Linked DNA regions of Drosophila melanogaster. The protein of the gene in region 4 interacts with the protein of the main gene of each other region in a pairwise test. Each region holds a gene or a part of one and is shown on either strand. Other genes may lie near its edges. The genes, in order: Mtl, CG4676, CG7685 and Nha2.

Evidence for each region.
Region 1: the proteins of Nha2 (region 4) and Mtl interact in a two-hybrid assay, tested with the Drosophila melanogaster proteins (one large-scale study listed by BioGRID).
Region 2: the proteins of Nha2 (region 4) and CG4676 interact in a two-hybrid assay, tested with the Drosophila melanogaster proteins (one large-scale study listed by BioGRID).
Region 3: the proteins of Nha2 (region 4) and CG7685 interact in a two-hybrid assay, tested with the Drosophila melanogaster proteins (one large-scale study listed by BioGRID).

The regions. Positions count from the first base shown.
Region 1 is NT_033777.3:27,634,987-27,640,426, reverse strand, and holds Mtl (Mig-2-like), read right to left. Parts: upstream 3,879-5,440; 5' UTR 3,591-3,878; intron 3,567-3,590; exon of another isoform or gene 3,374-3,566; intron 2,590-3,373; 5' UTR 2,540-2,589; coding exon 2,424-2,539; intron 2,355-2,423; coding exon 2,122-2,354; intron 2,049-2,121; coding exon 1,888-2,048; intron 1,805-1,887; coding exon 1,727-1,804; 3' UTR 556-1,726; downstream 1-555. Other genes in the region: CG5611 (uncharacterized protein), read left to right, coding at 4,388-5,261, 5,323-5,429.
Region 2 is NT_033778.4:13,234,299-13,237,592, reverse strand, and holds CG4676 (uncharacterized protein), read right to left. Parts: upstream 1,614-3,294; 5' UTR 1,579-1,613; coding exon 1,338-1,578; intron 1,286-1,337; coding exon 672-1,285; 3' UTR 538-671; downstream 1-537. Other genes in the region: CG4679 (uncharacterized protein), read left to right, coding at 1-279; Qsox1 (quiescin sulfhydryl oxidase 1), read left to right, coding at 2,696-3,294.
Region 3 is NT_033777.3:18,403,077-18,406,540, reverse strand, and holds CG7685 (uncharacterized protein), read right to left. Parts: upstream 1,602-3,464; 5' UTR 1,499-1,601; coding exon 1,382-1,498; intron 1,322-1,381; coding exon 1,116-1,321; intron 1,053-1,115; coding exon 734-1,052; 3' UTR 539-733; downstream 1-538. Other genes in the region: koko (kokopelli), read right to left, coding at 2,096-2,647, 2,708-2,852, 2,919-3,001.
Region 4 is NT_033777.3:22,995,522-23,000,305, forward strand, and holds the start of Nha2 (Na[+]/H[+] hydrogen antiporter 2), read right to left. Parts: upstream 3,008-4,784; 5' UTR 2,660-3,007; coding exon 2,644-2,659; intron 2,265-2,643; exon of another isoform or gene 2,263-2,264; coding exon 1,993-2,262; exon of another isoform or gene 933-1,992; intron 1-932.

The DNA.
Region 1 (5,440 bases), 4.6 Mb from region 4:
TAAATTTGATCAAGCAAATTGTAAGTCGCCATCTCCTCAATCGAGCTATGACAACTATTTTGCATCACTCCTGCTCCTCCAGCGAGTCCGAGCCGATTGTCTCTAAACACCTCTCTTTCGATTCCCGCAGTATTGGAAGGCACCGCGCATCCAGCGGGCCACCACACTCACCTCGTCCATGTCCCTGCCGGCGGAGTGCCTGGTTCTCTCCGTATCCATGCCCTCGCTCAACTCGGAGCCCAAGCGTCCCAAGAGCGCGGGACCCAAGAAGAAGCCCGGCCAGGCCGTCCACTCGAAGCCATTCCGCCTATATTGAGCCTGTCGAGGAAGGAGCTGCTCCACAAGTCGCACGTGACGTCACCCAATCGAAGCACTCAGAGATTTGTGCACAAGTTGATATCGAGGCACGCACTTCTAAAACATGCATATGCAGAATACATTTTATCAAACCGTTGATTGTTTAGAACCGAAATGGAAACGAAACTTGGCATTTACAACATAACAATAAACGACTAAATGAGAGGCAAAGTTAAGCACAAAATACAGCTGTGGTTTGTTTGTTTGTTTCTTTATATAATTACAGTATATATTTTCGTAAGTATTAAATCTGTTTCACGGCTACTACATCGCTGGAGCCAAACGGCCTTCGTTTACATTTCATTTACATAAGACTTGCGTTTGATTTTCTATATATAATTAGTACAAAAATTGTCCTGGGATTTCGTTACGTCTCATTGCGTCTTTATCATCGTGCTCATTGTGTGTTTGGAAAACTGTGTGCTTTTCTTGGTTTCTTTAGGTTTTGTATTCGTTTTTGATTCTTGTTCCTTTCGATTATTCGAGTCGCGTCACATTTAAATGCATTTAGTTGCCTTTTTCCATTTACATCATCCTTTTGCTCTACTTAAGCCATAAAAGTTGTTTATACAATTCGTTTTTAAAGTTAGGGTAATAAATAGGTCATTATAAAATAATAAACAACAGTTGTTACATTTTCAAAAGACATCGTCAAATGAGCTTCAAGTGATTATGATTATGATTCGAGGGTCGAGTTAGAATTAAAAAAATGCGCATGCTTGAATATCATAAAAAGTGGCTTCTCTAAGAGCTCGTCGTCAAGTGAATTGGCCTGGTTTCAGATTTGGTTAGCTGCGGATTGGCTGCCTTAGCTCATGGCTATATATAACTATAATACATTTAATGGGAAACTAGGAAATGCATAGATGCTCGTGATATGCGAAACCAATGTTTGCTGCGGTTGTTATAATTTTCTCTTTCTGCCAGATACTATTCGTACAATACATTCGATTCAATTGACTAGATTTCTACATATGTAGTGCATTAGATTTATGATTTATCTGTGGTACCGATTTTGTTAACAATGTTTTTTTTAGTTGTTGCGGGAGGGAATCGTGGTTTGCCAAATGTGTGACAGCAACGATCCGCAGAAAAAAACAGCCAAACAAAGAGAAATTTCATACGAATTTTGATGGCAGTACATTTCGATTCACAGAATTTCGTACAATATTTATCGTTTGTTTAGAGTTTCTTTCCGGGTTCGGTGCCTTTTACGAGAGTACGGAGAATTTTATAAATAAATACATGTAATTGATTTGTCGATGAGGGCGCTGCGTGAGTGTCAATTTGTTGTGGCCATTGTGCCGGTGTACGTGTCGCTTCCGAGGAATCTCTATACTTCGCCAAAGCCAATAACATTCTACCTTATTTACATTATTAAACACTTTCGCTGGCGTCGCTTTAGCGGCTCTGGTCTGAGCACCGCGCGCACCGCTTCCTCGAACACCTGAATTTGCAATCGGAGTGGGAAGGGAAATTTAATGATGAATAAGGGGTAGGTGGAGGGTGTGCCGGGCACCGATGACTTACCGGCTTGAGACCGCGCTGCGTCAAGGCGGAGCACTCCATGTATTTCACAGCGCGTATCTTGTTTGCCAGCTTCTGGCCCTGCTCGCGCTTCAGCGGCGTCAGTCCCTGCTCTGCCAGGCCGCTGAGTGTCTCTCGATCTTCGCGCAAATCGATTTTGGTGCCTGGAATACGCCCAAAGATATATGTATGATTCTCGTTTTCTGATTGCAGTTTTCATGTCGCTTGGCAACTTACCAACTAGAATGATGGGCGCATCGGGACAGTGGTGCTTTATCTCCGGATACCATTTCGAGGTGACGTTCTCAAAGGACGAGGGACTCGCCACGCTGTAGCATATCAGGAAAACGTCTGTCTGCGGGTAGGATAGCGGTCTCAGGCGGTCGTAGTCCTCCTGACCCGCCGTATCCCACAGTCCCAGCGAGACCTGTATTGTGTCCACTTGCATGGGCGCCGAGTAGTTGTCGAAGCTGTGAAAGATATCATAGTAAAAGTTAGATATCGATCTGCGGTTTGCGGCTATCGAGGCACAAACTTACACTGTGGGCACATATTCGCCGGGAAAGCAGTCTGTCGTGTAGGAGATTAGCATGCAGGTCTTTCCGACGGTGCCGTCACCAACGACTACACACTTTATGGGCCTTCCGGTTGACATCGTGAGTGTGCTGAGTGTGCCTGTGCCGATAGCTGTGTACTGTCTGTGTGCTGTGGGCAAAATAAGATGGAAGATGAATGTCTTCGCCAGCTTAATTCAATTAATTAAGTTCTATTCGAGGCAATAAACCCGCCAGTGCCAACTGACCGCAAATTATTTCACAGTCGTACTTCCTTAATAAAAATTCTTTAAAATAGAAACAAATGCTGTAGAAATACATATATGACACAATAAATTATCCTATTCGTTTTATTAGGTTTTTATAAATAAATTAACTACCACATCGTTTTTGGCGCGCAACTACATATATATAAGATAAACAATTGCTTAAATGGAATTTGGCAACTTTTAAAATTTGAATATCTAGACAAATTGAATCAGGATACTTGCTTCCTGAGTCGCAAACTATTTATATTGTATTAATGGAAGTTATACTTATTGGAGTATGCTACATCGTAAAGTGGGAATGTCCAAGCTGTGGAAGTACTACTGTACAGAGTATAATGGCGAAGGTCTACGGTATATCTCTGGGATGATCAAAGGCAGGGCTCTCGAAAGGTGTGTCCCGGCCGCAAAAAGAAAGCAACCGCAGCGGCGGAGGCCCATAAAGCCTAATAAAACGAACGAGGGTCTCATTTCGGTTGCGGTGGCACTTTGTTTTCGCAAATAAAATTTTCAAAAATAGATCATGATGGGCGACACAGACGGGGAAAAACAAAAAGCATAAATGGGAGCAGCGGACCAAATGGCGACCGCCCCTCCAGTGGCGCCCCTTCGGCGGTGGGCGGGGTCGCCCGAGTGTTGTGGTGACGCGGAAGCCACCGGCAGACGCACCGCATCGAGAAAAAGAAACACAAAATGGGAAAATGAACCGCCCGAAAATAGACACAATTAAGTTCTCATAACCGATTCAATTAAAGTTCAACACACAGAGGCGGCACATATTGCGCCACATGCAACGGGGCTGGGCGTGGCCGCGGGGGCGGGTGCGGTAGCAATGAAAATCTTTTGTTGTGGCACAACACCGAATGGGAATACAATATTATTTTACCGTTTTCACCACCACCTATCCTTTTCCTTTGTCTGTCGGCAGGCGGCGACTGTTTTGTACTTGGCTTATATCACTGTGCGTTTTCCGGCTACCGATATGCGTTCGAGGCGATGGTCCATGCGGCGCATTTAAATAATTGATTCGCACTATTTCGCAGCGGCTTTTACTTATAAATATCTGTTTGAGGGACAAAACGCAGCGTCCCCGAATAATTTTCGTGTTTTTCCTTTTTGTTTCCACTCCACACAAACACACACCCACCTTTTTGACAGCGCAGCGACGCTCTCTCTCTCGCCGTTGACAGTGGTGCCAACTTAGGGCCAGAAAATAGCTGACGGTAAATATAAAAAAATCACTTAAATGTATGGTACCAATAACTAAACTTAATAAGCATATCATCCAGTATAAAGTCGTTTTTCTTTTTCCAAAACTAAAATAAACTTTTTTTTACAATTGGCACTTAAAAATCAGCTAGACTTGGCGTGAAAAAAGAGAGCGGGTAGTCCAGCTCCGCTCTCTCGAAACTGACAAGCAGTGCTGCAAAAGGTGCAGGGCTCAGGCGGATTTGGCATTATACAATACTAATAGGCATGGTTGTGGGAGAGGGGTTGCAACCAATTTTCACATTGTAAACAAAATTATTTATTTAATTCTATTTCGAGCAGAATATTGTAATAATTACCTGTTAATTAAAAAATTATCATTTTAAAATTATCTTATGTAAGTTCAATACCCTTTAATTGCTATCGACTACGCCCATGCTGCCTATGTCCACTGTTGTTGTTTCGAGCGTCGTAATGAGCAGATTTGTTTATAAACTTTTACAGAGTGCAAACCAAACTAGTTCGGGCTGCAGACGCATTTCTTTGGCTACTGTAAGAAATGCGGAAAGCGAATCTCAAGAGGGTGCCCCTGCCCGCACAGTTCTGGTGGAGAAGGACTCGCACATAACACTTATTGGCCTAAATCGCGAGCAGCAGCGTAATTCCATTGATGCCAACACCGCGGAGCAGCTGACCGAAGCCATTAGCCAATTCGAAGCGGATGATACTTCTCCAGTGGGTGTGCTCTACGGCATAGGTGGCTCCTTTTGTGCAGGCTATGATCTGGAGGAGCTAGAGGCGGAGGCGCAACGCGGCAGCCTCAACTTTCTGTTGCGTCACGAGGGCTCCGTCGGACCAACTAGGCGGCATCTCCGCAAGCCACTTGTTTGCGGCATCAGCGGTTTCTGTGTGGCCGGTGGATTGGAACTGGCTCTAATGTGCGATCTCCGGGTGATGGAGGACACTGCAGTTCTGGGGTTCTTCAACCGTCGCCTTGGAGTTCCCCTGAGCGATGGTGGAACTGTGCGGCTGGCCGCTGCAGTGGGTTACTCCAATGCCTTGGAGATCATCGCAACTGGAAGACGCATCTACTCTGGGGAGGCGCGGCGAATCGGTTTAGTGAATCGCGTTGTGGCCACAGGCACAGCTTTAGGTCAAGCTGTTAATCTGGCCTTTTCCATTGCCAAGTTCCCCATGGCTTCCCTAATGCACGACAGGAATGCTGTGCTTGAAAATGCCAATGCCTACAACAAACCAGGATTCCATGTGGCCAGTTACAATGAGATCATGAATGTTACCTCAGATATGATAACAGATATGCAGGAGGGCGTGAAGCGTTTCAAGAACTGTGAGTAGTGTTCGTGTTCATTCCTAGAAACACTTTGTTACCTTCCTTTTTTATATTTTAGCTGAAATAAAGGGCCCCAAAACCGATTCGTGGAGCATAAAGGAGAAAACCATTCCAGATTGGGAAAAGGCCGAAATCGAGATCGAAAAACAAAAGCAAAAGACATGACATATGTAGTT
Region 2 (3,294 bases), on a different chromosome or scaffold from region 4:
GGTGGTAGCTACGAAAAGGCGACCGAAGTCTTCGCCCACATTGACAAGAACCAGCACAGAATTCCCGGAACACCAAGCCTAAATGCTCTGATAGAATTTGTGGACGCAAGTGTGCAGGAGAAGTCACCCAGCCAGGCGCTGTTTGCCCTGCAATATGCCGTTGAGAACAACTTTGATTCCAGGGAGTTAGCCAAACGTATTCATGAAGGATTTACCCTAAATGAAACACACCTGTCTAAGCTGAAATCGCTCGTAGGCGAAAGTTTCCTCGATAAGTAGTAGAGTCTTTTGTAAATTATATAATGAACGCTGTTAAATAAATAACCATTTAATAAATACTTGTTTGGTTTCATTAAACAGATTAATTTAATACATATAATAGACATTACTGAATGAATACACAGTATTCTAAATATTTTGTAAAGCTTTATGTTAATAAAAGGCTTTGTACTATTTTAACTTGTAAGCTGATCAAATGTGTGACTTGTAAACATTAAAAATTAATTTCCATTGGTCAAGTAGAGAATAGTAAGACGTATAAATTTGGATACTATTTCCAATTCAGATGTTGACTAGTGAGTCTTAAAATAAACAATACTGATTTTGTTATGAAGTAGATATAAGTAAATGCCTCTAATGAATGTCAAGAATGGGTAAGACACAATTCAGATCTATTCCTCCTTTGGAGAAAAGGCGGCTATGGGTTCCCAGTTCATTCCGTCGTGTGGCAGATCGCTGCGTAGAAACGGCGACAGCCAGGTGAGATGCATTCTCTTGCCCAGAACCATCTCCAGGTTACCCCGCAAACCGCGATCGTACTTTCTTGTGCCGCGCTCTCGTGTCACCGAACCGCTCTTGAATATCGACCAGTGGAAGACAAGGAGCAAGGATGATATGGCGAAGCCCAGAAGGGTGAGATCATATATGACCAAGTAGAAGGACTCCCAGCTTGGAGACAGCATCAGGCTAACCACGGGAGCAAATATGGTGAACAGCGTAGACCAGCGCCAGTAGATGTCCAGATGGAGATGCCACAGATAGATGCTCTCCATGATGGCGGCCGCCAAGGATCCGATGATCATGTAAACCAGGTAGTAGAAGAAGTACCTGTAGTTGTGATGCCCGATGCAGCAGCAAGTGAACCGACAGTGGTGGTCCCGCTTCAGCACGCACACGTTGCACACTTCGCAGTGCCAGGATCGAGGTGGCACCAATGTCTGACAATCCTGGCAAGAGTGCCACCGTGCCAGCTGCGCCGCATCCAACGGTGGCTTCAGCAGCTCCTCTATAAAGACAATCTTAGAAGGGATACCACAAAATCACTGCTTGCTACCCACTGCGGATACTAGTGTCCACAAGCATGCAGGCCAGCATGTTGGATGTGATGTTGAAGATGAGGAACAGGCTGGCCAACCATAATAACGTGTACCAAATCCCTCCGATGGCAAACAGTTCCGGCATAACAATGGTCACATGGAAGATGTATGTCACGGGCACAAAGACAGCCACCAGGAGGAAACATGCGAAATCCGAAATGGAACGAGGTTTAACGCGATCCCACGAGCGCAAAATCATCATGCTCCCGTTATTTTTTGTACCCCCCAACTGAGACAGTGCTGCAAAGCGATTTTTGGCTCTGCTGCTAACGGTAAGACTGTTAAGTCGAGTATGGTGAAACGGTTAGAACACAACTCTTTACGTTAGGAAACCCGTAAAATGTTAAATAAGATTGAATTTAACAGAAGCAATCCGGTTTTTAAAGAACACAAATGATTTAATTTAAAGAAATATAAATATATAAGGTAATAATAAGTAACTTAATACGAATAAATCAAATGTCATAAACGATGGTATATTAAAGGAATACAAATGTTATAAGCTTAAGTTCTTAAGTTTGCTTTATATTATTACATAAAAACTTGAAATTAAAAATAAAATTTTATTTGAAATTAAAGAACGACTTTATAATGGGGATTTCTACTGTGAAATTACAAAAACAAAAACCATACAAAATTGATAAGGCATAGCGCTTCGATGAAACTTTGCTTTGTTTTTTTTCTTGGAACTTTTAAAGGCGATTCAATTAATATATACGTGTGCATAATAGGTTGGGGTTTTTTTTTGCGGATTATCGAAAACCATATGACGAACGAGACAATAAAATAAAAGAATATGTTTAACTAAACAATGTAAAGTTTTAAATTGTGAAAAATAATCATTTCCTTGATGTAGAGTGCAAGCAGGTATAAAACATTGCCTAGCCTAGGTGCACTGTTCTTTTTATATTACTTTAATAATTTTTTTCTTTTTTAGGTTTTAAAATTTTGGGAGCGAACTAGTTCGCAGTAAAAATGAATTCGTGTAGCTAGTAGTTTATACATATATACCAAATGACTTTTACTGACAATAAAACAAATTAATAGGCAAAGTAATTTAAAAATGCACAAATTATATGGCACGAAAAACGTTTAACATCGTTTCGCTTCGCGAGTTTTGAAAATAGCTGAAGAATCGTAGCTAGAAAGCAGACGATTTGGCATCCCTGGCAGCAGTTAATCAAACCACTTGCGACCGTAAAACATTCCAAATGCTTCGGTGAAGTTAAATCTTATCGCAGCAGAGCAGTCGCGTTCCACATCGCATTCCGTACGAATCGCAGCCGCAACCGATCCCGCAAATTGGGTAGATCCGCAAAATGTCGGCGACGCACCTGGTGATTCTGGCCGTCGCTCTGCTGGTGGACATCGCATCCGCGGGCGTTCCCCTTCCGCGATACGAGGCGCTCCTCAAGCAGCAGTCCCCTCCATCGGATCCCACACTGGGTCTCTACGACGACGGGGATAAGGTTATCCGCCTGTCGGTCGACAACTTCAATGCTACCGTCCTGGACCAGAATCGCGGAGCATTAGTCGAGTTCTACAACACTTACTGCGGCCACTGTCGCAGATTCGCACCCACGTACAAGTCGGTAGCGGAGCACCTGTTGCCCTGGTCCGAGGTGCTCATCGTGGCGGCCATCGATTGCGCCGCCGAGGAGAACAATGGCATCTGCCGCAACTACGAGGTGATGGGCTATCCAACGCTACGTTATCTGGGCCCCGGTTTCCAGCCGGGTCCTCAGCATTACGGGCAGAGCCTGCATACGCAGGATAAAAACGAAATCCGCGAAATACTAGCGGGTATGGTGGCCGCAGAGAACCTGACCAGCAGCCACAACAATTCCTACTGGCCAAACTTTCACTACTTAACGGAGAACGATTCAGCCAGCAGTTTGTTCGAAGGTCTCAGCAGCGC
Region 3 (3,464 bases), 4.6 Mb from region 4:
TCCAAAACAAGACAAGAAAGCCAGCCAAGAAAGCAAACCAAGAGAAAATCCAGTGAGACGTACTGTGCATATAAGGGAAAAATTAATTACACACAAAATTTCGTACCTTGTAGAATTTGCAGTTCAAAATTGCTTTAGAGTTTGTCGATGTACATTTTACGGATTAAACTGCACAAAACATTTTTAGGCAAGAAGAACCATATTAACTAAAATTACAGACGGTCGTAGATGTAAATTGAACATTATAAATGAAAACGCTGCGAATTCGAAACCAAAAATCGCGCAGAGAAAGTCGAGCAAAAAAAAGAAAACAAAACAAAAAAGGAATTCCCAATGTAAATTCTACTGATTTTTGTGAGTCTGGTAATAAAATGAATAAGCATATATGGATAAAATGGCAGCTTCTTTTTTTCACATGTCCACAAAGATCTAATCTTGCAGCTGCTCCTCTGGCACCAAATTAAACATAGTTTTAAACAAATTGTACACATTAAATCCATCAGATTCTTTGAATGTGAAAACTGGAACAGGCCACATTGTGTTTCTTGGAATTCGTTTCTTTTATTCAATCTACTTATTTTAAAATAAATTACAATTCTATTGTACTCGTACAAAAAATATCGCTTGTGATGCGCCGCCCGACATCTTCATCCTTGAGATTGGTGTCCTAGGTGCACAGGTGGAGGAGATGGAAGAGGAATGGGAGTGGGAACGGGGTCCCGTCGGCCTGCGACTACGCACAGTCGTTGGGACACTTGGTCGCCGTGCTCCACTCATCGCTGCCGTCGCAGCAGTCGCACACGTGGTCATTAATGCGGCTGCTGGCCACGTAGATATCCAGGCCCCGGCCCGTGATGTGACGCTTCTGGTAGCGACAGTAGAATCGCCCCTTGGCGCAGGCATTCGTGCTGGGCTCGTCGCTGCCGTCCTCCTCACAGTCGCAGTAGTTGTCGTTCAGGTGGTCGAACGGGATCTCTTTGGAGCCGTCCAGACACCGGAACTTGCCCTCGAAGTTGGGCTTGTAGGCGTCGTAGTCGAAGAGCCGTGTGCCCCTAAAGGATAAAGACGAGGATGAGGAATTTTCCCAAGCCAGCAACAATGCATCTACTACACACCTGACAATCTTGATGGGATCCTCGTGACCCGCAACAGGTGAGGTTTCCCCGCCTGCCGGAGCAACTGCATCGGCGCCTCCGCCATCGAAATCGTCCACGTCGCGCTGTTTGCTGCCCAGGGACTGCATCATCTGCTGGTGCTTGCGCTTGATCTGCTGCAGATTCCACGGAGCAGGCACTCCGGGCAGCTGGTTCAGCGAGAAGGCCTATCGTTATTGTTTACACATTAAACACCGTGCACAGGAAAATCCTTGCGAGACTCTCACCTGATACGCGATGAACGAAATTCCGACCAGGAAGATCAGCAGCAGGAACATCTTCGACTTCTGCTTGTAGAAGGGCTTGAAGTATATATTCTCTCGCTTCACCCACGTCTTACGCATATTGTCCTTGTTTTTTCGCTCTGGCCAAGTAATGTATAAAAAATATGTTTTGTTTACGAACTAGCATTGTTTTTGTACATGCCTGCGTTAGTCAACACTGCTGGGCTGGGGCTAAGGGTTGCCACCCATCCCGGAATTTAATCAAATACAGAGCGATTTATTTAAATTTGTTTGATAAAGTGTAATATTTTTTTGTAAAACTTTTAACAGCTTAAAAGTATAATGAATTTGATTGAAATAAAAGCGCCAAACACCTTTTTGCTTTTCCTCAGAATCTTAAAGCATTTCACAACTCCAAAGACCCATTAACAATATCATTTTTCACAGAACAATTGTTTATTGAATCAGTGTATAAATAAGTTGTAAACTTTAGATCTATCGTCTTCGCTGATAGGTAAATGTACTTTCGCCCGTCGATCACATAAGCATTTCATTACCGGTCAATTTATTTGTTTTGGCAAGGGCATGATGTAAATGCATTGGACATTTGAGCATATGTACGTCTAGTAGTATCTGAGATTGGTTTATGAGGTGGCGAGGGGAAAATAAATAAGTTCAGATGGCAGAAGGAATGGTTTTGGCAGTCTCTCTCAGCGATTAGGTGGCATTCAGGAAGCCCTCGTTCTTGTAGACCTCGATCACGTTCTCGATGATCTCCCACTGGTTCTCTCGGGTGAAGTCCTTGACCAAGGGCTTGTACCACATGGCGGATTCGTCGGACTCGTCGGTTAGCGGCACCTGGATGCCGTAGGTCTGGAGGGCCAGCGACAGGCACCCAATGGCCACATGGGTGGGCTTGTACTTGAGGATATTGGCGCTGTGGTGAAAGTCTTGCAGATACGAGGCGGCTGCCTTGGCAATGGGCACCGAGTTCCACACCTCAGTGCCCACCCAGTCTTGTAGGGTCTTCATGTAGTGGAGTAAGTACTTGTGGGCCAGATCTATGTTGAGATCGAAGCACAGGGTGCGCGTGATGAGCAGCTCAGCCTGGACAATGGCATCCCGCATCGACCAGTACTCATCGTTCAGGTCGACTGGATCATTGCCCCGGTTAAGGGTGCAGTATGCCACGTTGATGACATCGCGTATCTTGACACTTTCGTCTTCCTTAATTTTGCCAGCCAAGTACAGCGAGCCCGCGGCAATGAGCTGTGGATTCCAGAAAGTTTCTCATGAGATGGGGTCGTTTTGGGGGCATATATTACTCACGAACTCATCGTAGTCGCTGGCCTTGACCTCGCGGAAGAAGCGATGGAACACTATGGCCGCACAGGCCGCCGTCAGCGGTTTCATTTTCAACTTGGCAGCGCACTCAAAGATGTACATCGGCACCACGCCGGGTTTGTTCATTTTGCTGCGGCACAGATGGCACAGATATGTATATATTGGTGGTATCTTTAGATTGGATCATTCAACTTACCGATAGTCGATGGGCTTCATGGTCTGCGCCTTGTTCAACTCCACGTGCTGCTGCATCGACATGACATCCAAAACGTTTTTCATGCTGCTACTCCCAGGCCGAACTGAATGAAAGGATGAATGTGGGTGGATTTAAGCAATTTCGTTAACACTCGAGGAGCAAGATAAAAGCAATTGGACTGGTTGGGGAAATGGATGTGAACTGAGACCACCGAAAAGTCGAAAGGCGACAAACCGGTTTGATTGGGCTGCAGCGCTGTAATGGGAGATATGGTATCATATGCAGGGCGATCGGGAAAACTAACGGGCCCGAAGGTATGTCAGCTGTTCGATTGGAATCCAATACAACGGTGCACGGATTTGTTTGTCTTGTGGGAACTCCCAATGGTGTTTTCAAAAATAGTACCTACAACTACGGGCCAAACAGCTGTTCAAGTACACAGTGTTGATTAAGGATAATGCTTCCGTTTCAAAGGGTTATACAAGATAATCAACCCTAATAAATAATTACAGGAAAGCGCTGATCCATAGTTACATTTCTATTTGA
Region 4 (4,784 bases):
CATGCAGCGCGCATTCGGAAAATAATTTCTTTGCGTGGAAGAAGATTGCATTCCGTTGTCACGCACTTCCTGCCAAGAGATGAACTCACGCCCCAGCGATTCGCATCGAATTTAGTGCTCATACATCGCAAATCAGTGGAAACTGGCACTTTCTTGGCTCCGGGCTGGTAAACTATATAAAAATGGTAGAGAAATGAGGTCACAAAGCGCCATTCAGCGCCATGCTGGTAAATAAAAGAGCCAGAGACAAATTGAAAAAAAAAACCCCCGTTGCAGCTCGGCAAATAAGCAGCCAAAGTCTGACAGGTGGTCAAAGGTTAAGTGCGGGAGGGGCGACTAAGTGCAGTTTTAGTAATTAGCTGTGGCGCAAGTGCAAGTGCCTGCAAATCCTTCAGATTTAGCCAAAGTATTCAAGCCTCCAAAGTGGGCCAACACAGCTGCGAAACGCACCAGCGCCAATTGAAATGGCGTCGAAAGGGTTTTCGTGACGGTTAACATTCTACCATTCATTTGGCAATCATTATGCTGAGTCACAGTCTAGCTGGCATTTATAAATGTCGCACACTGCGTATACGTAATGAACTGACTTGCACACACACACACACAGGCGCATGAGGCGAATGCGCAATGCACTGCATTTATCAATAGACGAGTGCATGTTTGTGTGCCAAGCGTATATCATGTTGGCTTTAGTTAACAGAAATGTCACCGTTTCACTCACAAGCAGAAGCGACAGGTGAAATGTGGATGGGGCAGGTGGATGGTAGGGCTGTGCCATTCAAGGTTGAGCTTGAGGAATTGCCCCAAACGCTGCATTTAAATGGAATTTATTTAATATAAACGAGTGCCTGCACATGCGAGCATTAGTGCTGCCTGCAGCGGTGCGCAAACTTATTTAAATATGACTTCCACAGTCAAATCAGAGTCAGACGCGAAATGGAAACGGGCATCGGAATCGGAATCGGAATCTGAATCAGAATCAGTGGTGCACTCCGAATGTGAAAGCGAATAGCAAATGCGAAATGAATGCACAGGAAATGAGCCCCGGTTAATGCATATTCATGGGAACATACTTTGCCGAGAGCCGCGGGCTTTTGCCACTCGTGTTAGTTGTATGATTGCGGGCATTTGGGCGCAACTAAACTGGCTCATTATTCGTGTGAAAATGCCACAATTGCGATGGCCCAAAGGGAAGTTCTCCCCAATTCTCCCAAAAAGTTGTACAATGGACTGGTGCGAAAACCCGCATTTGAACAGATGCAAAACAATTGCTGCTCTGGGAGTTTCAAAAATACTAGCTACTCGGCTGTGGGCGAAAAACCAGCAAGGGCCACCTGCCAAAACAGAGGAGCGTAAACAAAAAGCTCGGCCAACGAAAGTGGTCCACACACATGGCCAGCAGGGCACAGCCTTGCATATTTCCAGAAATCAGAAGGAATGTGTAGGAAATGCCTGCCTTTGAGTTTGAGCCGGGACGGTAGATGCACTGGACTGTCAATCGCAGACACTCTGTCGTCAATATGCGGAAATATTACGTATACGCCCCTGTGTCCCCCGCCCGCCTTCGCCATCTTGTGCAAGATGTGATTGTGCGGTTCACTTAAAATCGAAATGCCTCAATCAGCTCCTGCCAGTTGAGAGAAAAAGCTGTGATTCTGCCAGGATATCTCGACGGCGAAACAAAAACTTTGCATAAACAAACTATGAATACTCGTATATGTGCTGAAGTGCATATGTGCATATCTGAGCACGCATTGTGCACTTGGCTGTCGGAGCCACTTCGCTTGGCTGGCCAACAAAGCGTTGGCATGGAGCTGTTCCACTGGATGTCTCTGTCTTCAGCATCCTTTTTGCCGTCCTGTCTGCGGGTTGTGTGCACACTGATCCGGGGAGCTGGTTGCATAAAGGCAAGAATTTCCGTAACAAATACTTTCGTTCCGCATTTTTCGAATTTCCCCATGACGACGCGGTGCAATTAAACATATCACTCACCTTCGATGGCGCTTGGCGCGGTGCTTCCATGGGCACGAGGGGGCACCTGTGGCTTGTCGCCAAGGAGGTGCTCCTTTTCCGGCTCCAGGATGCTGGCGGTCACCGTTTCGCTGGCTCGACGCAGCATATGCAATGGAGTCAAGTTCGCATCACGATCGCGTTCGAAATCTTGCTGGCAGGAGGACATTTGATACGAGTCCTCGAAGGGATTGCTGCTGCGAAAGGCTTGCAAGGGTGGACCCTCACTGCCTGCCACTACATCCAATATATCTAAAAAAAAATATATATATATATATAAATTAATTTGTATGATATTAAAATTAAAATCGCTTTATATTCATACTTTTTTCCCACAAAAAAAATTGACTCAAGCTATTTGGTAACATTTTTAATTACGCATGATAGATAAAGCCGAAGGGTTGCTAATCAAACAAAAAATATTGATAATTCCATTCTACCATTCTTATTTTCCAGTCCCAAGTATATAAATAAAAGAGTTAATTTCCCAACAATTTGACTTGTGGAAGCCCGAACATATTTGCACACGATTTATTTATTGGCACTTGGGCAAAAAGTGGCATTTAATTGATTAACCATAAACTCGTAAATTAACGCCGAAAGTGAGTATCGAAAGCTGCCAGAATCGCTTACCGGAATCGCTGCTCATGTCGAATGTCGGCGAAATCCAGAGAACAAAACAAAACTGAGTGATTGAGTGAAAAAAACGCGGAAAATAATGCCAAAGAGCGACAACTGCTGACGCAATCAGTACGATGACGTAGTCCAAATGGCTATTCTTGGCTCAAAATTGACGAGTGCCAAAGAGAAACGCCGCGGTTTGAAGAGATTGGTTAGCTGCGAATCGAGTGGATATATAGTATATAGTATAGTATATGCAGGGAACGGAACACGCGCGACACGACCGGCGGAAAGGCGGAATGAAATAGTGTAGTAGCCCCGGAACTTGAGCACTTGGAGCTTCTTTTTATTACAGCTCATGCACTGGCAAATATTTGCCAAACGCATTAATTAGAAAAGCAAAAGCCATTTAAACAAGCAATTGCCGATTCGCGCAGCTCCAGCGAGCGCTCTTCGATTAAAACTAATTGGCAAACAAACAAGCTCTGCGGAAGGCGAACCTTCTGTTTTCATTGCTGTCGAGCGAAAAGTGCGGAATGAGTTGGTTTCTGGGTTGGGTGAAATGAGGGGTGGGGGTGGGGTCTGTTTGGAAGCACTTACATATTTATAAGGGGTTCGTTTATCTGCGATTCAATATGCCCATAGTTTTCTAAGGCGCAGCCAATTAGCTGATAAATAATTGTCATGTAATCATAATTTATCTGAACTAGATAAGGCGCCGAATAGCCGCGTTATTAATAGACCTCTAATCATAGCGCATTTCCCATGTGTGAGTGTCGGAATGATTAAACGCTTTCACTTTTTTTTAGGGAAATGTGCGCGACCTGCCCCATTTGAGCTCTATCATTGGGGCGGCAATTCTGTGCCATAGATGGCGCTTTAGTTTGCCAGCTGCGTTTACATGGTATTAAAAAAAAAACTACCTTATATTGTTTTTATTATTAATTATTAATTTTTGTGAGCTTGGAAAGCAATTATATTTCCTTGAAGTAAAAAGAGTTTCGCTTGTCTTGCAAATTGTTTTTCTGACAATTTGCATTTTGACGTTGCTCATCATATTGGGCGCCGTGGCCACTCCCACGCCGTGGCTGTAATTTAATTGCTTCGCTGGAATATTTTTAATTTACCTGATGGACAAACCAGCCCCATGACAAAGATAACCAATCGCAGTGACGTCACCACCATTATCCAGTGCTCCAGTCAGATCATCTCCTCATCAGGTGCCACACGTTGTTGCGCAAAAAAAGTGTCGTTTGCGAAAATATTTAATTTATTTTAACTATGCACACACACTTTTTTGCACTGTATGGAGTTGCAGTTGCACTCTCACTCTATAAGATGGCCATTATGACGACGATGATGATGACTATGATGATGGCTCAAAAAAAACAGGACATTGTGAGGTGCGGGGCGCTGCAAAAAGGATAATACAACTTTCTCGCTCTATTTGCCACGCACACACATGTTGTTACAGTGCCGTGATTTTTGTTGCATCAAATTGGAATTTTTTCCTTAAATATGGTAAACATCGATGGGGCAGAGATTTATGTATAGTGCAGCGGCGCGTTGATGAAAATGACTCGCCGCTGCATTGACCGTGTTTACTGTTTGTCAGACAGGGCAGCAATTTACGCCCACATGCAAAAAACATTAATTTGCATGCAAGTCAATTATCAGGAGGCAGCAAACAGACAGGCGCTAGTTACCAGTTTTCAGTATTCAGTTTTCTGTTTTGAGTTTTCAGTTTTCAGTTTTTCAATTTCTTTTGCACAAACATTGGTGTTATTATTCCGCCATAAGGATGCAAGGACTAATGGAGATACTCTTGAAATGGGTCATGATATTCCAAAAGAATCGCATATGGCGCAGAAAGATTTATTTTGTTTTTCATTAAAGTACCATACAAACCATTAATTTAGCTCGCTACTCTTATAGAGCATCTGCAGGTTGTTGAGCTCAACGTGGACACTCAATGGCGAGGACTTTCAAACTGCCAGGCCAGCACATTTCTAAATGTTTTTATTAATTAAAAATATTGCAAATTAAACACATTTCCAAATTGCGTTTTGCATTTTTCGTATAAATACGCGGTCGATGGAAAAAATGCAAATATAATTTACAAAGCATACATTTCACATTTTATTCTTATTTTA